Drosophila melanogaster: one gene and its partners. The protein of the gene in region 1 interacts with the protein of each later gene in a pairwise test. Each region holds a gene or a part of one and is shown on either strand. Other genes may lie near its edges. The genes, in order: CG3342, CG8388, CG11771 and CG13144.

Region 1 (3,867 bases):
GGCAGGGCAAGTACAAGCGCAAGTCCACGGACACGGCCATGCTGCGACGCAAGAAGACCAAGGCGAAGCGGAAGCGACATCGTGCCGGCGGATCCGGTGCTCCGACCGCCGGCAGCAGCTACCTGAGCAGCCTCAGCGACAGCAGCACCTACTGAGAAAGAAAAGAAACAAACAAGGATTAACTGGATCAGCAAGAGAATCTAGATGTGGATCTGTATCTGGATCTGGATCAGCATCAGGATGGATAGACAGCTGCCTCCCAAAGCACTCGCTCCGCAAACTAGCTCGCTTTCCATTTTAGCCGTAAAAACGTAAAGGAGCAGGACCGCCAGCCCATCCTTTCCGCTCCTCACTTCCACAGAGAGACTGCCAGTTCCACTTCCAGTTCCAGGCCCCAAAACAACTTCTCCATGAACTCTTCCCACGGATTATGAGACGCGCAAACCGTAGACTTGTCCCTATACCTTAAATTTCAGCCCGATGTGTGCTGCAAATACAACAAATTAGTTTGTACAAGAGGAAGTCGGAGTTTTTCATAATTGAGAGAGAGCAAAGCATGGGTTGCTATTAATTATAATCTTCCGCAACATATTTTATATCTCACATTTAGTAATAATAGTTGTAATAGATTAGAAAATCGCTTTGTAAATGAGCCCAATAACATGGCAATCTAATGACTTAAAGATAGCTAATAGTGTCTGGCTTGTATTTGTGGATATGTTACGCGACCTAACAAATGATTTAATACACTTTTCGATAGTAATACCGAACATATATAATACGCCTACGTTAGGTGCTATAACCGACCCGAACTGGAGCTGGAGTCGCCTGATTTCTGAAAGATTCGCAGCGCTTCCTGCAGTGCGGAAATGTGTAGCTGCATTTTGGCTATTTGCCGGGAAGACGACTCGCAATTGCGGCAATGGGCAGGCGAAGCAGCTGTGCTTGAATCGGAAATATGCTGGCTGGCTAACAACAGCTGGGCATTCTGCGACTTGAGCTCGCCATTCTGGACTAGTAGCTCCTCGCAAAGGGCGCACGCCGAGCAGCGTAGATCCTCCAGCGCCTGTTCGCGTGCCTTGAGGTTGCGCATTAGCGCTCGATTCTCCCGCTTCAAGTTGAGCAGCTTCTGCTCCAGCTCCAGCATCTCGTCCTCGCTGTCGCGTTCCAGCAGCGGATCACTGGGCTTCTTGGGCGCAACACTCGACTGGCCGCCCATGCGATTCATGGCCTGCAGAATGGCGTCCATCTTGTGCTCCATTAACGCACCCGAGGCACGCTGTTCGTCTAGATATTTGTCCAGTGTCGTCACAGCCAACGGAGTATCGCTGCTCGTTGAAGCGTTGGCCACCGCCAGGGAACTGGCACTGAGTTTCCTGTGAGCATTTGACGAACCTATGGGTCGCGGCACTGGCGTTACTATCACATCCTCATTGGAAGGTGTCTCTGTTTCCCGTTCGCGTTCCTCATCGTCCGCCTTCTCCAGCGTTGGCAGCGTTACGCGGGAACGTGGTTGCGGCTGTGGCGGATTAGGCGTCGTCTTTGTGACCGTTGCTTTAGTTCGGATCTTAGATAAATCCTCACGCGAAGGCGATGCCGAGCTGGAGGATGAGATCTCGCTGAGATAGTGCTCCACTGGCAGTTTGTTTTTGACCATAAACGTTATGAATTCCTTCTCATCCGGTTCCTTGTCGAATCGCAGGCTCCAGAAGCGCTGCTCGTCATCGTAGAACTGCAGATAGGATTCGCGCAGTATCACCTTGCCGCCACGCGGTGTCAACTGCAGCGTGGTCAGCACCTGACTCTTGCTGCGGTAGACAATCAGCTTGCTGGCCTCCATCTCGCCCAGAATCGAGAGGGCCAGGCCGACGCGTCCAACGTTCTCGCTGCTCCGATAGGCATGCACCACCTTGGCAATGGCCGTGTTCCAGGCGGCAGGCGGTGAATCACCCGTCTCCTGGGTGCTACTCCTGGTCATGGCCGGTCTTTTGCCAGCCTGCAATTTTTTGGAGCTGCCTGGCTGATAGCGCAAGCTGGATGATTCGTTCGCCAGCGGACGATCGTCGTCCTCAAAGATCTGGCGCAAGTTGCGAGGACCCGATTCACTGGAGTTCATATATATTTAATATGTATATACCACTGTGCCAAGTGTCCCAATCCCGTCCAGAAACAGACTCACCTTCGCAACTTGTCGAAGAAGTCCTGATAGGACTGATCGTTGCCGATTTCCATGCCTAATTATGCAGTCGCATCGAAAATGTTTAAAAACATTAACTATTGTTCAGTTTGTTTTGACCGAAACAGAAAGTGTGACCAAGCGCCAAAACGAAGAAAACTTGTTTCCACCGGTGAATTGCTTTCAGGAAAATTATAAAATATTATAACTAAATATTAAGCAAAAAGGCCATAAAATAAACATATTTATACATATATATGTTTAATATAGTCAACTGTAATAGAATATATATTCTATATTCAATTCGTTTCAATATAATTAATTCAATATATTAAAACCAAACTGAACTTACTTCTACATTCGAAACAATGTTTTTAAAAAGATGCTTGTGCCTTAAATATGGAAAAATCAATCAATATTTAAACGAACATTTAAATTTTATAGTCACGACCTGCTAATTTGACTGCTTATCACTTTCCTAAATCTATGTTTTTGTTTTTATTTTGATTCTAATTTCACCACCAGCGAAATGGTAATAAATATTTTCGGCCACTCAATACGACATTTGTATTATTGGCGGTTGACCTCCTGGTCACGATGTGTTTTCCACTCCAAATCGCTAATGGAAAAACTGACGATACGGGCACTGCTATCAACCCAAATGTTAGTTGTCAGTGGGCTGAGATTTCGAGAGAATTAAGATCTAGATGCTAGATCTTGATCTCTGCACTCTGCAGATGCTTCCAGCTTCGAAAAAGAAGTTGCTACATTACGTATACGTACCCACAGTCAAGGTTCGTCTTGCTGAATTCGCTGGATTTCTTATTTCACAATAGACATTGGTCCGCCAACCTTCCCAAGGCCATTCAAAGAATCAGCAGCAGCACACTGCAAACAAAAAATGGTACTTCTTTCAGATTAACAATGAAATTAATTGAGTAGTAAGTCATATTATTTCGTAAAGATCTTGTCTTAAAACTGTGTATGATTTTTTGACCCATCAAATGGCAGTCTTAACTTATTATTCTTATTCCAAATTTCGTTCTGTGCCGCCAACGACGCAGTTGCTCTCGATCTTGATGCCTTGATAAGCGGGAGAGCGCATCATTTACCACTTGTTCAAGTGCGTTCATCGGCGAAAATTGCGGCGATAAGCTGCGATCCGGTGCGCTATAAAGTGGCCAGCAGCCCGGCAAGCGTTTCAGTCCGATCTTGGCCAGCCACCGAGAGAGACAGCCCATAAAAACCAACTCCCATCACCAAACAGTAGTAACACCCATTCTACCTGGCACAGCGGATTAGAGAGCAGAAGGCGATAAGGCAGTCGTAAACACAGAGATCTGATTACGTAAATAGGGAACAAAGACCATGGAGGTACCACCGCCACTTGTACTCAAGCGACCGCTCTATGTGCCCAGCAAGACGTTGATGGGGCCCGGACCCTCCAACTGTTCCCATCGCGTCCTGGAGGCCATGAGCAATCCGGTGTTGGGTCACATGCATCCCGAATGCCTGCAGGTACAATATCTTCTTAAAACCACAAAAGTGCTAGCAAGATTGAGCTTAATACTCGAATTATATCGAAAAGTTAAGCCCAAGTCCATATACTCATGGGCCGCACTGTACCTTATCTGAACGAAGTGAAACATTGAGATACATTTGCTGAGCTGGGTCAGAGATCTGTGGGCTAG
Region 2 (4,463 bases), on another chromosome or scaffold:
CGTCGCACCATGTGTGGCTTGCAAAACTTTCCAAATATTCCATTGGTAAATAAGATGTTGCCACAGATGAAAAAACAAAACATCATAACGTGCCTAGTCATTTCTTTGGCACAGATTGAGGATTCCGCAGAAGACTAGAATGTGTACAAACACACACGCCGATTGATGATACCTTTGAACTGATACCATGATAATGCCAATTCGCTGATAAGGATTAAATCCACTTTTCCAAACCGACTCAAACTGGTTTCTCCGTCTGCCTGAGCCGTTGAAGCATCCCGGGTTGGTCGTCGTCAAAATAAGAGTATTTAAACTGAACCGTTGTGCTATATGCGTCTATATGTGTTATGAATTACCAGATTCGACCTTAATCGCTGATAACGCCAGCTCCGATGTCCGTTTTACCAGTTCGAGATGATCGGGGGGCAGATGGACAAACCAGTTTCAGCCGGTTGATCCCATCGACACAGGGATTTCAATTAATAATCACATAATTTGTTTACCCCGCCACTGCAGTCATCACAATAGGGGTACGGTGTCCCATTTGGTTTTTTATTGCGTCAAAAGGTCACCTAGGGCTAGCATTCTGCTCGAGGGCTGCTGGTAGTTGCTATCGCTTCTGCAGGTACCAACCCTCCATCCTGCCTGGTCTCTGTGGTCTTTCGTACGCTGACGGCGATGATGGTGTCTGATTTGCGAGAACGATTCAGTCGCTTGTGTCGGTTCTCCTCCCACTCCTTGCGGTGCACCTTTTTGCGGTGCGCATGCATGTTGGCATTTGAATTGAAGGTTTGCGGGCAATGGGGGCATGTGTACAAAACCTCGCCCGTGTGGGTTGTCATGTGTTCCTGCAAGAACAGTTCAAAATCAATTGCTTTCATCGGTCACTGATTTCGCTAATTACCTTTAGTTCATTTGGTCTCTTGAAGGCCTTTTCGCACATAGGACACTGATGACTACGTGCCGTATTGTGGGTGTACTTGATATGGTGCTGGTGTGCCTGTAGACTGGGGCATATCTTAAGACAAAATTCACACTGCATCGGCTGCAGGTTCTCAGCGGTATGCATCATTTTTATGTGGCGGGCCAGTCCATATTTGGTGGTTAGCATTGAGTCGCACAAGTGGCATTTGATTGCTGCCTGCGGCCCTCCCGTGTGCTCCTCCATGTGCCTGGCCAAGGCTTCGCGTCCTCTGATCGATTTTCCACAGACATCACAGATCTTGGCATATAAATTCAAATGGACCAGCTTAACATGTTGCTGCATCGTATACTGACTGGGATAACTGAAAAATACAAATGTAGCTATCTGAGAAAGAGTAAATCTTTCGGTCACTCACGTTTTCTCGCAGTGCGTGCAAGGGACCTTCCACTGCTCTCGTGGAATGTGAGTCAGCTTGTGGCGCTCATAGACGACGGCGCTGTAGAAGGCCTTGGAGCACTGTTCACAGCGGTATAGTCGTCCGCGAGATTTGATCTCATGCATGCGCATGTGCAACTCAAGACTTCGACGGTGGCCCATCACGCGGCCGCAGATGGAGCACTTAAAGGTTTCAGGGTCCTGGTGGCGGCGCAAGTGGTCGACAAGAACTCCCCGCTTAAGGAATTTTCGGTTGCAACACATTGCATAGCCGCGCTGCTTGTGCTCCCGTCGTACATGGGCCAGCATCTCGGAGAAGTCCTCCATTGGCAAGTTACAGATGTGGCACTGAACTTTATAGTGCTCGCGAATATAATCATTAAACTCTTGTGATTTCTGGATTTTGGGCAGACAGCTTGTATTGGGCCGTTCCGCGAGTTGCACGCGTCGACGACCTCTTGAGCGTCCGCTAACCTTTCGCTTAAGCGTCGGCGGTTTTTTCTCCAAAACCTCTGGATCCTCCGCTCCCTCCTTGCTGATGCAGTCGTCGGGTAGGAAATCCTGCTCCTCCTGATCCTCAAGCACATCGGCAATTGTCAAGTCAGCTTCGGGGAACTCGATTTTTATTTCATTTAAATTGATTTGCTCCAGCACGCTCTTCAACTCCTCGCGTGCATCCTGTTGAGCGACTTTTCGAGGACGTCCACGTCGGCGTTTGACGGCAGCGGCTACGCTGTCGTCATGCTCGCTTTTAACGATGTGCTCTTCTAGAGCGGAAGCAACCACTTCTGGCGGAGATGTCTCCTTCAAAACAGTTTGCTCCAGCGCTTTGTGGGCTTGTTCCACATTGAGGTAAAAGTTGTGAAAGAGCAGTAGCTGCTCCCAGCAGGGGCCGCACACATAGCCGGCTCTTTTTGAGTCAGGGATCTGAAAAAGATCACTCTTCAATAACAATAACAATAATAACACAGGTAATATTTGTTTGTTTACCTGAAGCCAGAAGTGTTTCTCGATGATGCACCGCAGGCCAAGTGAATCGGCTTCCTCCGAGGCAAACTCTATATTGCCCGCCGCATCATCCACAGTCTGAGTGCACAGAAAACAAGGCATTTGTGAGAGAGACGCGCGAAAATATACAAAAAAAATTATTAAAAATGTGTGTTATTCTACAAATGAAAACAGGGCAAAGCACAGCTGATTACTGTCATCGCTAGCGGCTATCGATAAGCGGCGCCAGAATAGTGGGACCATAGTCGTGTTTTTGAATTAAAAACTTCGGGTTATTTGTTTTCACTTGCTTATAATAAGCACTTAGATAAGCACTATCTGGAAAAGTAAACCCTAAATATTTTATTAAACGAATCTGTACTGACAGTTTCGCACATAAAAAGAAGGTGCATATCGCAATATCTGGAAGTGCGCAATATTTCCGAATATACGTTTTATGGCATTCGCAGAGAGGTCATACTGATTCAAAGTTTTGTGACTTTGGGATTAATTTATTTTAATTTAGGCTTTAATTCGCCTTAATTTGTTAAAACGTTGCTTGCGAAATGGCCACGCAGTTTGGGGAAATCTCTGAGACGAGCCGTTCAACTCGTCTCCACTGGGTAAATGCCATTTCGCCGGGCTTATCGGAACGCACTTTTACACCTGTCTTTAGACGCCATAAACAAATCCAGACGTTTTAATAACAGTCCACTTATCGCTGTTTACATATTTTTAGCCAGCTTAATCTCGACGAGAAACTCGGAGAGCACAGTCATGGATGTGCAATCGAGTCGCGTTGTCCCCGATGGGGGCTACGGATGGATTGTGGTGGCCGCCGTTGCATTGATTAATGTGAGTGTTCAATAGTCTTTAAAAGGAATACCCAAAACTAAACATATTTATTGCATATGCCGGCATCCAGATGACCAACCAATCCATTTTGTCAGTGTTCGGCCAGCTCTTTGTGGGTGAGCTGCAGAAAATGCAAGAGGACACATTTACGGCGGCCCTGATCACGAATCTAAACAGCCTAGCTCTCAATTTCTCTGGCCTCTTCATTGGACCCGCGATTAAGAGCTTTAAGCCGCGAAATGTAGCTGCTACAGGTTGCATCCTAGTCGCCCTGGGCCTGGCTCTGTGCGCCTTTGCCTCTGAAAGCTGGCACTTCATTCTGGGCTACAGTTTCTTCGTAGGCTTTGGACTCGGCCTCATCTCGCCGTCCACATTCATGGCCATTAACTCGTACTTCACCACTAAACGAGGACGGGCTGTAGGTGTTTCATTGGCAGGTGCTGGCCTTGGACAGGTGCTTATCCCTCACCTAGTGCGTTACCTCTTGGATAACCACGGCTTCCGCTACGCAGTCCTATCCATGTCTTCCCTATCACTATTTGGGGTAAGTTAAGAATATAATATTATGTTGATCCAATGCTTACAGCCCGAGTACCTTACAGCTTTTTGGTGCTGCCTTCTTGAAACCACTAAACCCACCTGCCAAGCACAACAACCGCAAACACATTCGACTCCTGACCGAGGCCGATGGGGAAAAGACTAGTCCCCTTCAGGTGGTGATTGTTCCGACTAATCAAAGCAAGATCGAGCGTAGCCCGCCAAATGTGGATACTCTGTGCAGCCGAATGGGACAGCGGTTGGTACAGGCAATGGATCTGGAGCTGCTCAAAGATTTAGTATTCTGGAGCATCATTGTGGGCATGGCTCTAGTCTATACGGCCACCATAAACTTCACGATGATCTTTCCTGGTTTTCTTGGACAAACGGCACAACTTAACAGCCAAATGGTGGCCTTCTGCATGTCCCTTGTGGCTGGCGCCGACATTGTGTTCCGTTTGCTGCTGCCCATCGTCACAGATCACCTTAGAATACCCTATCGCGTAGTGTTCCTGATCGGCATTGTTGGACTCTTTGTCGCTCGCTGTGTGCTTGCCGAGAATCAAACGCTGCCCGTGATCATCACCATGTCTGTGTTGACAGGCATGATGAAATCAGCCACTGTAATCAACAACAATCTCACCATATCGGCGCATTGCCGCTCGGAAAAACTGGCCGGCGGTCTGGGTCTGAGCATGATGTCCAAGGGCGTTATTGTTATCAC
Region 3 (5,079 bases), on another chromosome or scaffold:
TCCTTTAATAGCAGCCAATCTAGATCCTCAAGAACCCTTTGAATTCCGACCATGTGAACTAGCAAAGGTTATCAAAGAGCAACTGAACCCAAGAAAATCGCCTGGCTACGACCTAATAACTCCAAGAATGCTCATTGAACTCCCAAAGTGTGCTATTCTTCACATCTGCCTGTTGTTCAACGCAATCGCCAAGCTTGGATACTTCCCTCAAAAATGGAAAAAGTCGACCATAGTAATGATTCCAAAGCCAGGAAAAGATAAAACGCAGCCATCATCATATAGACCGATAAGCTTACTAACATGTCTTTCAAAGCTGTTTGAAAAAATGCTACTCCTTCGGATTAGCCCTCATCTTAGAATAAACAACACACTTCCAACACATCAATTTGGCTTTAGAGAAAAACATGGAACCATCGAACAGGTCAACCGAATCACGTCAGAAATTCGTACTGCTTTTGAACATCGAGAATACTGCACAGCCATTTTTCTAGACGTCGCGCAGGCATTTGACAGAGTGTGGCTCGATGGACTTTTGTTTAAAATAATCAAGCTGTTGCCCCAAAACACACATAAGCTACTGAAGTCATACCTATATAACAGAGTGTTTGCAATAAGATGCGATACAAGCACTTCACGCGATTGCGCAATCGAAGCTGGAGTGCCGCAAGGCAGTGTACTGGGTCCAATCTTATACACCCTGTATACGGCGGATTTCCCCATAGACTACAATCTAACAACCTCCACGTTCGCTGATGATACCGCGATACTCAGTCGCTCGAAATGCCCAATAAAAGCCACGGCACTCCTATCCCGACACTTAACATCTGTAGAACGATGGCTTGCCGACTGGAGAATTTCAATAAATGTTCAAAAATGCAAGCAGGTTACCTTTACCTTAAACAAACAAACATGCCCACCACTGGTCTTGAATAACATATGCATTCCACAAGCCGACGAGGTAACATATCTGGGAGTTCATCTGGACAGGCGGCTCACTTGGCGCAAACATATAGAAGCCAAATCGAAACATCTTAAACTTAAAGCAAGGAACCTCCACTGGCTCATAAATGCTCGCTCTCCACTTAGTCTGGAGTTCAAAGCTCTTCTATACAACTCCGTCTTAAAACCTATCTGGACTTATGGCTCCGAGCTGTGGGGCAACGCATCCAGAAGTAACATAGACATTATTCAGCGAGCACAGTCAAGAATTCTGAGAATTATCACTGGAGCGCCGTGGTACCTTCGGAACGAAAACATACACAGAGACCTAAAAATCAAATTAGTAATCGAAGTAATAGCTGAGAAAAAAACGAAGTATAACGAAAAGCTGACCACCCATACAAATCCCCTCGCAAGAAAACTAATCCGAGTATGCAGTCAAAGCCGGCTGCACCGCAACGACCTCCCAGCCCAGCAATAAACTTATTAGGGCATTAATGAAAAAAAAAAAACTATCACTAAGTGAAAGTTAATTAAGTTAGATTAAGATTTGAACACTTATTGTTAGTCTCTTAACACAAAGGGAAGATTCAATAAATAATAAAAATTAAAAAAAAAAAAAAAAAAAAAAAGAGAAGTCACAGATTAGGATAGATTGGATTCAGTGACTGCAGTAAAGTGTGATTTTCGCATCACTGCCGGCTCCACCGCTGATGGTGGCAACCCTGGCCGCTGTCACTTGCTTTTTGGTCCAGGCGTGTTGTGTAAACGCTGGCCCCCATTTCAGAATCCCAAATTCCGGCGCAAACTGTCCGGAATTGTACATATCTGGATTAACGACTTCACCTAGGACATGCTAAATCTCCTACGAAGGCGCCCAACGTCGGTGCCCCTCATCCGGGCCGCGCTTAGCGCTCCGCTGCACTCAACGGAAAACCGGCCGGGTTACATAGTGCTGTAAGTACGAAAATTACCCGGATTCAACATGTGGAGTCACTAAACCTATCCCCGCAGGGTACCGGAGATCGGTGAGGAGGGACCGCTAGGCGAGGGCGTGCTCAAGCCGGACGGACTTCCCGCCTTCAGTGACATCACCATCGAGATGTGCTTGGGCGCCATTGGTCAGCAGGCATCGGCGGTGGAGAACTCGGTGAAGGCGCTGGAGAGCGACCTGCACAGTGGCAAGCAGCTAAATGCCGCCAGCATCTTTCGGGAGCTGGACACCGTGACGGGTCCACTGGAGACGACATGGGGTGTGGCCAAGGCTCTGTACCTGGGCAATTCTACCCTGATACCCACCAAATCCTACATGAACATCCACGAACGAGCGCGTAACGCTCGGGCAGCGAAGTTCTGCAATCAAACGGTGTATAAGGCACTCAAGGATGCTTCGTCCGATTCGGGTCCAGATGAGCAGAGGATGCGACAGAAGTTCCTGCTCGAGGGCAAGCTGAACGGGCTCACGCTGGACAAAGATAAGCAGGATGGACTGAAAGAGCTGCTTACCCATTTGGGTCGAGAGAGAGCCAACTTCAAGAACAAGGTCAACATGGCAGTGCACTCGTTTGGACAGATTATTACGGACTTCAATCTTGTAAGAGATTTCCCGCCTTCGCTTCTTGAGGCAACAGCCCGCGATCCCGGACAACCTATGACGGGTCCTTGGAAGATAACCCTACAGCCTCAAGTGGTCGATGGTTTTCTAAAGCACTGCCCAGAGCGAATGCAGCGTTGGAACGTCTGGAGGGCCAGTGTGCTGAAGGCATCCTCGCAGCAGGAAAAATCCCTGGAGAACAGCACACACATCGAAAAAATACGCGGTTTGCGCAAGCGACAGGCAAATCTGTTGGGCTATGAAAGCTTTGCAGACATGTCCATGCAGACCAAAATGGTGGGCAGTGTGGACAACCTTAAGCAGATCTTTGCCAAGCTTCTCAAGTTCGCCGGCCCTGCTCAAAGTGTGGAGCTGGAGAAACTACAGGGCTTCGCTCAGGACAGTGGCTGTGAATACAAGCTGGAAGCCTACGACGTTGCCTACTGGCGGCGCAAGCAACTGGCGGCGGAGCACGGTCTCCAAGATCAGAAGCTCCGCGAGTTTTTCCCACTGCCCCGCGTTCTTTCCGGCTTGTTTGCGCTGAGTGAAAAGCTCTTCGGCATCAAAATAGTTGAGCAGCCCAATGCGGAGGTGTGGCATCCGGCAGTTAAGTTCTACGATGTGTTCGATGCTGATTCCGTCAATAGCTCCACCCCGGTGGGTGGCTTTTATGTGGACTGCTATTCCAAGGAGCACAAGTTCGGCAGAAACAATGGTTGGATGGTGGGCATACGGAACAGCAATAAGTCTGCCGGGCTGACGCCTCTCTGTGCGCTGATATTTAACTTTTCGGAGCCACAAAGTCCGGATGCCAAGCCCCCGCTTCTTGGATACGATGATCTGCAGATGCTCTTCAAGACTTTTGGAAGCGGACTCCAACACCTGCTCACCCAAGCGGGGTACAGCGATTTGGCGGGACTCTCAAACATCGAGTGGGATGCCTCTCAAGTGTCCGGTCATGTGATGAGCAACTTCCTCGACGATCCCACAGTGATTCGAAGCCTATCCGGACACTTTAGCAGCGGTGAGCCCTTGGAGGCTGAGCTTTCACAGAAGATGCGATTGCTGAAGACTCAGTTGGCTGGCTATAATCTGTGCCAGGACCTCTACCTGGCGGATCTCGACGTGGAGCTGCACCGCTCGAATGCCTTCTGGCTGGAGGTGGTTCGCAAGCTGTGGCCGGTTTATCAATGCATGCCGCTGGACAAGAAGGACGCACATCCGTGCTCCCTGACCGACATTTTTGCCGGAGATTGGGCGGCCGCCCAGTTCAGTCACTTGTATTCCCGCCTCATAGCCGCCGACATTTCGAGCAGCTTTGCTGAGCAGCGAAGCGAAGAGAACTACGCGGTCGTTGGCCGGCGCTACAAGCAGACCTTCCTCAGCTGCGGCGGATCTGTGCCCACGGCGGAAGTGTTCCGTCGCTTCCAGGGTCGCGACCCGTCGGCCGAGGCACTTCTAAAGTCGCTGGACATATTTGAACCCTCCCAGACCACAGATAACAACTGAGGGTCGCCCTCTGTTCCGCTAAAACGTTATCTATTGTGTGTAGTCAACAAATGCTGATCGATGGCAGCCTGTGGAGGCCCGACGAGTGGCAACCTTATAGGAAAGTAAGCATTGGAGTATTGGAAAATATTTTAAAATAGTTTTGAAATGTATTCTGTTAAATATTTGTTTATTGGTCAAGATCCCACTTGTACTTATTTAAAAGAAAGTATAGCCGTAATTGAATGACCCCAGCCAGGAAACTGAAAACCAAAAACGATTGATAAGGGCTTTATAAATTTTGGAAGTGTAACTATTAAAACAAGAATTCTATACTTTACGCCTCCACGATTTATTAGTCGGCAATTCGATCTACACCCTAATTGGCAGCCGGATGTGATAGCGATCGCGTGAGTCAGGCGGGATCTTATCGCAGGTGTGCAGGTGGTGTCGCCAGGCGACATCGTCAGTTACCCCAGTTGAACACACATACACACACACGTTGTTGCTTTATTTAAATAATACTTTAATAATAAATTGCATAAATTTATAACATTTAACATATTCTCTCGCTTCTTGCTCGGTTCTCTCGATTCGGTTCGATATATTTATATACACAACAAAGGCGAAGTATGCATTCAGCGGAAAGGAAAAAGACATCTAGGGGTTTGGATGGAAACCGAGGATTAAGAGCTATCATCTGTCTTGGCCTTCTGTTGGAAAGCCACTAGAAATGGTTAACCGGTAGTCAGGAAGAAATAATCAAAGTACATTTCGACGCAGGGGTATGGATTAAACTTGGTTAGTTTACAGGAATTAATTTATATATATATATATATATAAATATGCTCTAGATCAAAGTGTGGTACTACAATATGCGTATGTGCTGCTCCGAAATCAGTCGGAGCGTGTCCCGCTGTGGTGTGTTAGTTGTGTGTGGAGGCTGGATATCTGAAAACTTTAGAATATTCGCTAAGGCTGCTATGTGTGGTAGTGGCTGCAGTTGCTCCCTTGGCTGCTCCGTTGGCTACTGCTGTCTAGTATATGTCCGGACAGCC
Region 4 (3,741 bases), on another chromosome or scaffold:
GCAGCGAGTGGCCGCAATTACGTCTGCAGATTATCGCCGCCACTGCGCTGGCCGGAAGACGACCCTATTGGGGTCAAGCGCGCCGCTGGGTGGGTGATTATCTGGCCAACTCGCAGGAGAACAGCGGATATGAAGCCTACAACGGAAGCATAAAGAACATAAGGAACCACCCCGCCGACGGCGAGACCTTCCAGCAAGTGCTCTTCTCCTCATTCGTCAAGAAGTTCAACCATTTCAACAAGCAGGCTAATCGCGCCTTCATCGTTTCCGATTCGACCATCCACAAACTGGACGGTATCAAGAATAAATTTAAGGACATGAAACGCACCATTAAAATTAGGGAGGTTAGTAGATAGTATAATAATATATTATATTATTATATTATAATATTAATTCCGTATCTTGACTTCGCTTACAGTTGACGTCCATTAGTGTCTCACCCGGCCGGGATCAACTAATCGTCTTCCACTCGTCGAAAAACAAGGATTTAGTGTTTTCCCTGGAGAGCGAGTACACGCCCCTCAAGGAAGATCGCATTGGCGAAGTGGTGGGCATTGTGTGCAAGAAATACCATGAGTAAGTGGAACGCCCATTTAGTATGTTCACCAGATATTAATATCAAATCCTTTCCAGCCTCACTGGAACCGAGTTGCGTGTGAATGTGACCACCAATATTTCCTGTCGCCTAGACGGCAAGGCACGCATTATTACCGTGGAGGCGGCGTCCAATGTGGAGGTCCCCAACTTCCGTCCTAAAGAGGGCAACATCATTTTCGAGGTGCCGGCGGCGTACTGCGTTTAGGCGGAATCAACTCCGCCCAACTGTATTGTAAATTATGGAACCTAGTTTTAAGACTGGGCTCATCACCCTCTTTTCTACTTGTGACCCATGTGTCCCACCAAGGACATGACGACTCTGTGTATACCGTGCCTTCCGCCAAACACCCGCTTTGTAGTTTTTAATACGTCATTCTATAGTTAGTCCTATCTGTTTATCTGTTCTGTGTGTGACGACATGATTGTAATTTTGTACATTTTTCTATTATGCGTATGCGTTAAGGCGATATTTATTTAACATCCATGTGAGAGGAATACCACCTCCGCCGGTTGAGCTGGCCGACGAAAAGAACGAAAAGTATTAAATGTACTTTGTGCATTTCTTCAAATATGATTCACAGCACACAAGAAACCATTTGTAACGATCAGTAAAATGTTTGTACTTAAAGCGAAAGATCACAAACATATGTGTGCCATTTGCAAATATTATTGAAATAATATATGAAATAAAAGATGTAAACTTTGTACTTGAGAAAGCTGGTTAATGACTATTTTTTTATATCAATAAGTTAAAGAGAAGTTAACTTACCAAACATAAGCATAATGTGCATAAGTTCCCTATCCCAACCTTGATCTGAATTGAACCCATTCAAAATTTCGGTCATTTCGTCATGAATTCCCCCAAAATGTGCGTTCGGCATTTGAATATCTGTGAGTTTCTGCATCTGTGAATCTTTTTCAAATGCTGCTTTAAATCCAAACGTAAAATCCGTACGCATTCGTATGCGAATGCGATCAAAATGTATTGGCAGAGACCGAAATAAAGTGCACATGGCTCGCCGCCGATTGATAAAAGATAAAAATAAAGAGATCGGCCTCTCTTTATGCGGAATGTGCGCTCGCATTCGCCTGTAAATTCTCGAAGGGAACGCGTGCAATTCGGAGCATCGAAGCACCCAAGGTGATTACATAAAGCCAGAAAACCAGAACCATGCAGAAGGCCATCAAGAAGGAGCTCAGCTTCTCGCTGGACACGCTGGAGCGCTATAGGGCCAAGTACGGACGCAGTGCATCGCTGGACACAAACGGCACACCAATTGCACACACAGACGGCGACCAGGCTGCTCCTGCGCCGCCACCGCCCTCGATCTTCACAAAGTCGTTGTCGCCACCAAAGATGACCAAGCTTCAGGAGTTGCAGCAGAAGAAGGAGGCCTATTTAAGGGCCAAGGAGCACGAGCGGGAAATGGAGCAGCTGCAGCGCACAGAAAGAAGGTCCATCATAAATGGTTCGGATACGCCCAAGCCCAAGACAGGCAGTCCAACGAGCACTTCACCGACTCCCAATGCAAGTTCCTCGTCAACCGCTGCCGTGGCTACCAAGACCTCCAGTCCAGCTGGCTACACCAACTGGTCGAATCACCATGCCACACTCTGCTCCCAGTCGTGGGTGGCCATCTCCGAGCTCATGTACTTTTGCGACAAGTATGAGTTCACCACCCTCAGCACACGCGATCTGAGGACGCACCAGGAGATCGTGGCCGAGGTGAGAGCTCTGCTGTCCGGCAAGGCGCCCTTCGATCAACGCACCCGCTTCCCGGGTAACATTCACGATCCGGAGAACTTGTGGGTTTGCATCGGTCGCTGTGCCAGCGTGGAATACCATCTGCAGCGCATCATCAGCATCTTTCGCAAACCTCTCAATCAATTGACACCGGACAAACAGCGAACGGTGCGTCAGAATTTCCACCTGGCGGTCAGCGAACTGCGGCTGGACATCTCGGCGAGGATTAGCGAGGTGCGGCTGTACGATCGCCTGGTCTTTGAGCGCGAGTTCCGGCTGGAGTGGCTGGATGAGGAGGCCTAGTGGATTAAATGGTTTAAAGGATGAGTTAGGTGGACAATAACGTTTATTGGCAATTCTTCGCTCTTTTTTGCGGTGCGCGGTGGAAAAAACGGTTACAAAAATACACTTGGACACAGGAGGCCGGAGCATGGAGCACACGACTATGGTAACCAGTGTGCTGGCTGCTCCATTCAACATACATATAAGGGGTATCTCGTCAACTGATCATCATTATGATTTCTTTGGCTGCAATTGATTTGCTTAGTAGTTAACGTAAGGAACATTTTCAATCAGAAAGATTTTACATAAATTCTGTGTAGATTCTATTGTACAAAGCATTAGGACAATCATAATCAAAATCAGTTGTCGCACATGCCCATATACAAAGTTAACCACATATTTCACAAATCTAGGCCATGGATTCCTGCAACAACTGCTCGCACAACTAAATCTAAAGGCCGCCGGCGGTCAGGTGGAATCTGAGGATACAGCTCGAGCCTGTCCGCCGATCAGGACAACTTATTGCTCCGTAATACGTAATACAAACATTTATATATATGTACACAATGCTAGCGGTATAAATAAAGCACTTTTGTGTGGGCCAACATGGATTTGCTTGCGAACAAGTGTGCTGCTAGTGCGGAGTGCTTTAACATCTAGCGGAAGATTCAGGTTGCAGATTATCATAGTTCTTTTTGGATCCCAGGGATCTCTTCAGTGGGTTCGTTTAACGTGCAGCTAGTCAACATCTGTGTAATCTGTAATCTTTAATGCCAAAGAACATCGAATGGCGGAATGAACCTAGCAGAACTTGAGCTTCATCTTGCTGGTCTTGGGCACATTACGGATGGTGAGGGAGATGCGCGGCGATCGGCGTACTAAGTGATCCCCGATCTTGTAGGTATTCTCGCACAGATCGTAGTTGGAGATGCGATCGCAGAGCACATCCTCGCTAGTCTCGGAGATGGCGTGCAGATAGTCGGTGTACAGCGTGTCCTTGAGGATGAGCAGGCTGCGCGGTTCCAGCAGCAGCTTGAAGAGCACTTCACGGGTCGTCTGATCTCCAGCTTCTGTTTCAGTTGTGGTGTCCTCACGCTTGACAAACTCCAGCACGGTAT

What was found.
Region 2: the proteins of CG3342 (region 1) and CG8388 interact in a two-hybrid assay, tested with the Drosophila melanogaster proteins (one large-scale study listed by BioGRID).
Region 3: the proteins of CG3342 (region 1) and CG11771 interact in a two-hybrid assay, tested with the Drosophila melanogaster proteins (one large-scale study listed by BioGRID).
Region 4: the proteins of CG3342 (region 1) and CG13144 interact in a two-hybrid assay, tested with the Drosophila melanogaster proteins (one large-scale study listed by BioGRID).

Annotation. Positions count from the first base shown.
Region 1 is NC_004354.4:6,525,572-6,529,438, forward strand, and holds CG3342 (uncharacterized protein), read right to left. Parts: upstream 2,318-3,867; 5' UTR 2,233-2,317; coding exon 2,180-2,232; intron 2,106-2,179; coding exon 797-2,105; 3' UTR 535-796; downstream 1-534. Other genes in the region: CG3918 (uncharacterized protein), read left to right, coding at 1-155; Agxt (Alanine-glyoxylate aminotransferase), read left to right, coding at 3,545-3,694.
Region 2 is NT_033778.4:16,008,869-16,013,331, forward strand, and holds CG8388 (uncharacterized protein), read right to left. Parts: upstream 2,571-4,463; 5' UTR 2,471-2,570; coding exon 2,351-2,470; intron 2,288-2,350; coding exon 1,341-2,287; intron 1,287-1,340; coding exon 905-1,286; intron 849-904; coding exon 579-848; 3' UTR 533-578; downstream 1-532. Other genes in the region: CG8389 (uncharacterized protein), read left to right, coding at 3,125-3,202, 3,273-3,746, 3,805-4,463.
Region 3 is NT_033777.3:24,930,341-24,935,419, forward strand, and holds CG11771 (uncharacterized protein), read left to right. Parts: upstream 1-1,669; 5' UTR 1,670-1,792; coding exon 1,793-1,896; intron 1,897-1,953; coding exon 1,954-4,042; 3' UTR 4,043-4,579; downstream 4,580-5,079. Other genes in the region: Osbp (oxysterol binding protein), read right to left, coding at 5,059-5,079.
Region 4 is NT_033779.5:10,489,392-10,493,132, reverse strand, and holds CG13144 (uncharacterized protein), read left to right. Parts: upstream 1-1,678; 5' UTR 1,679-1,768; coding exon 1,769-2,644; 3' UTR 2,645-3,233; downstream 3,234-3,741. Other genes in the region: Myo31DF (myosin 31DF), read left to right, coding at 1-344, 419-576, 634-802; CG6144 (uncharacterized protein), read right to left, coding at 3,425-3,741.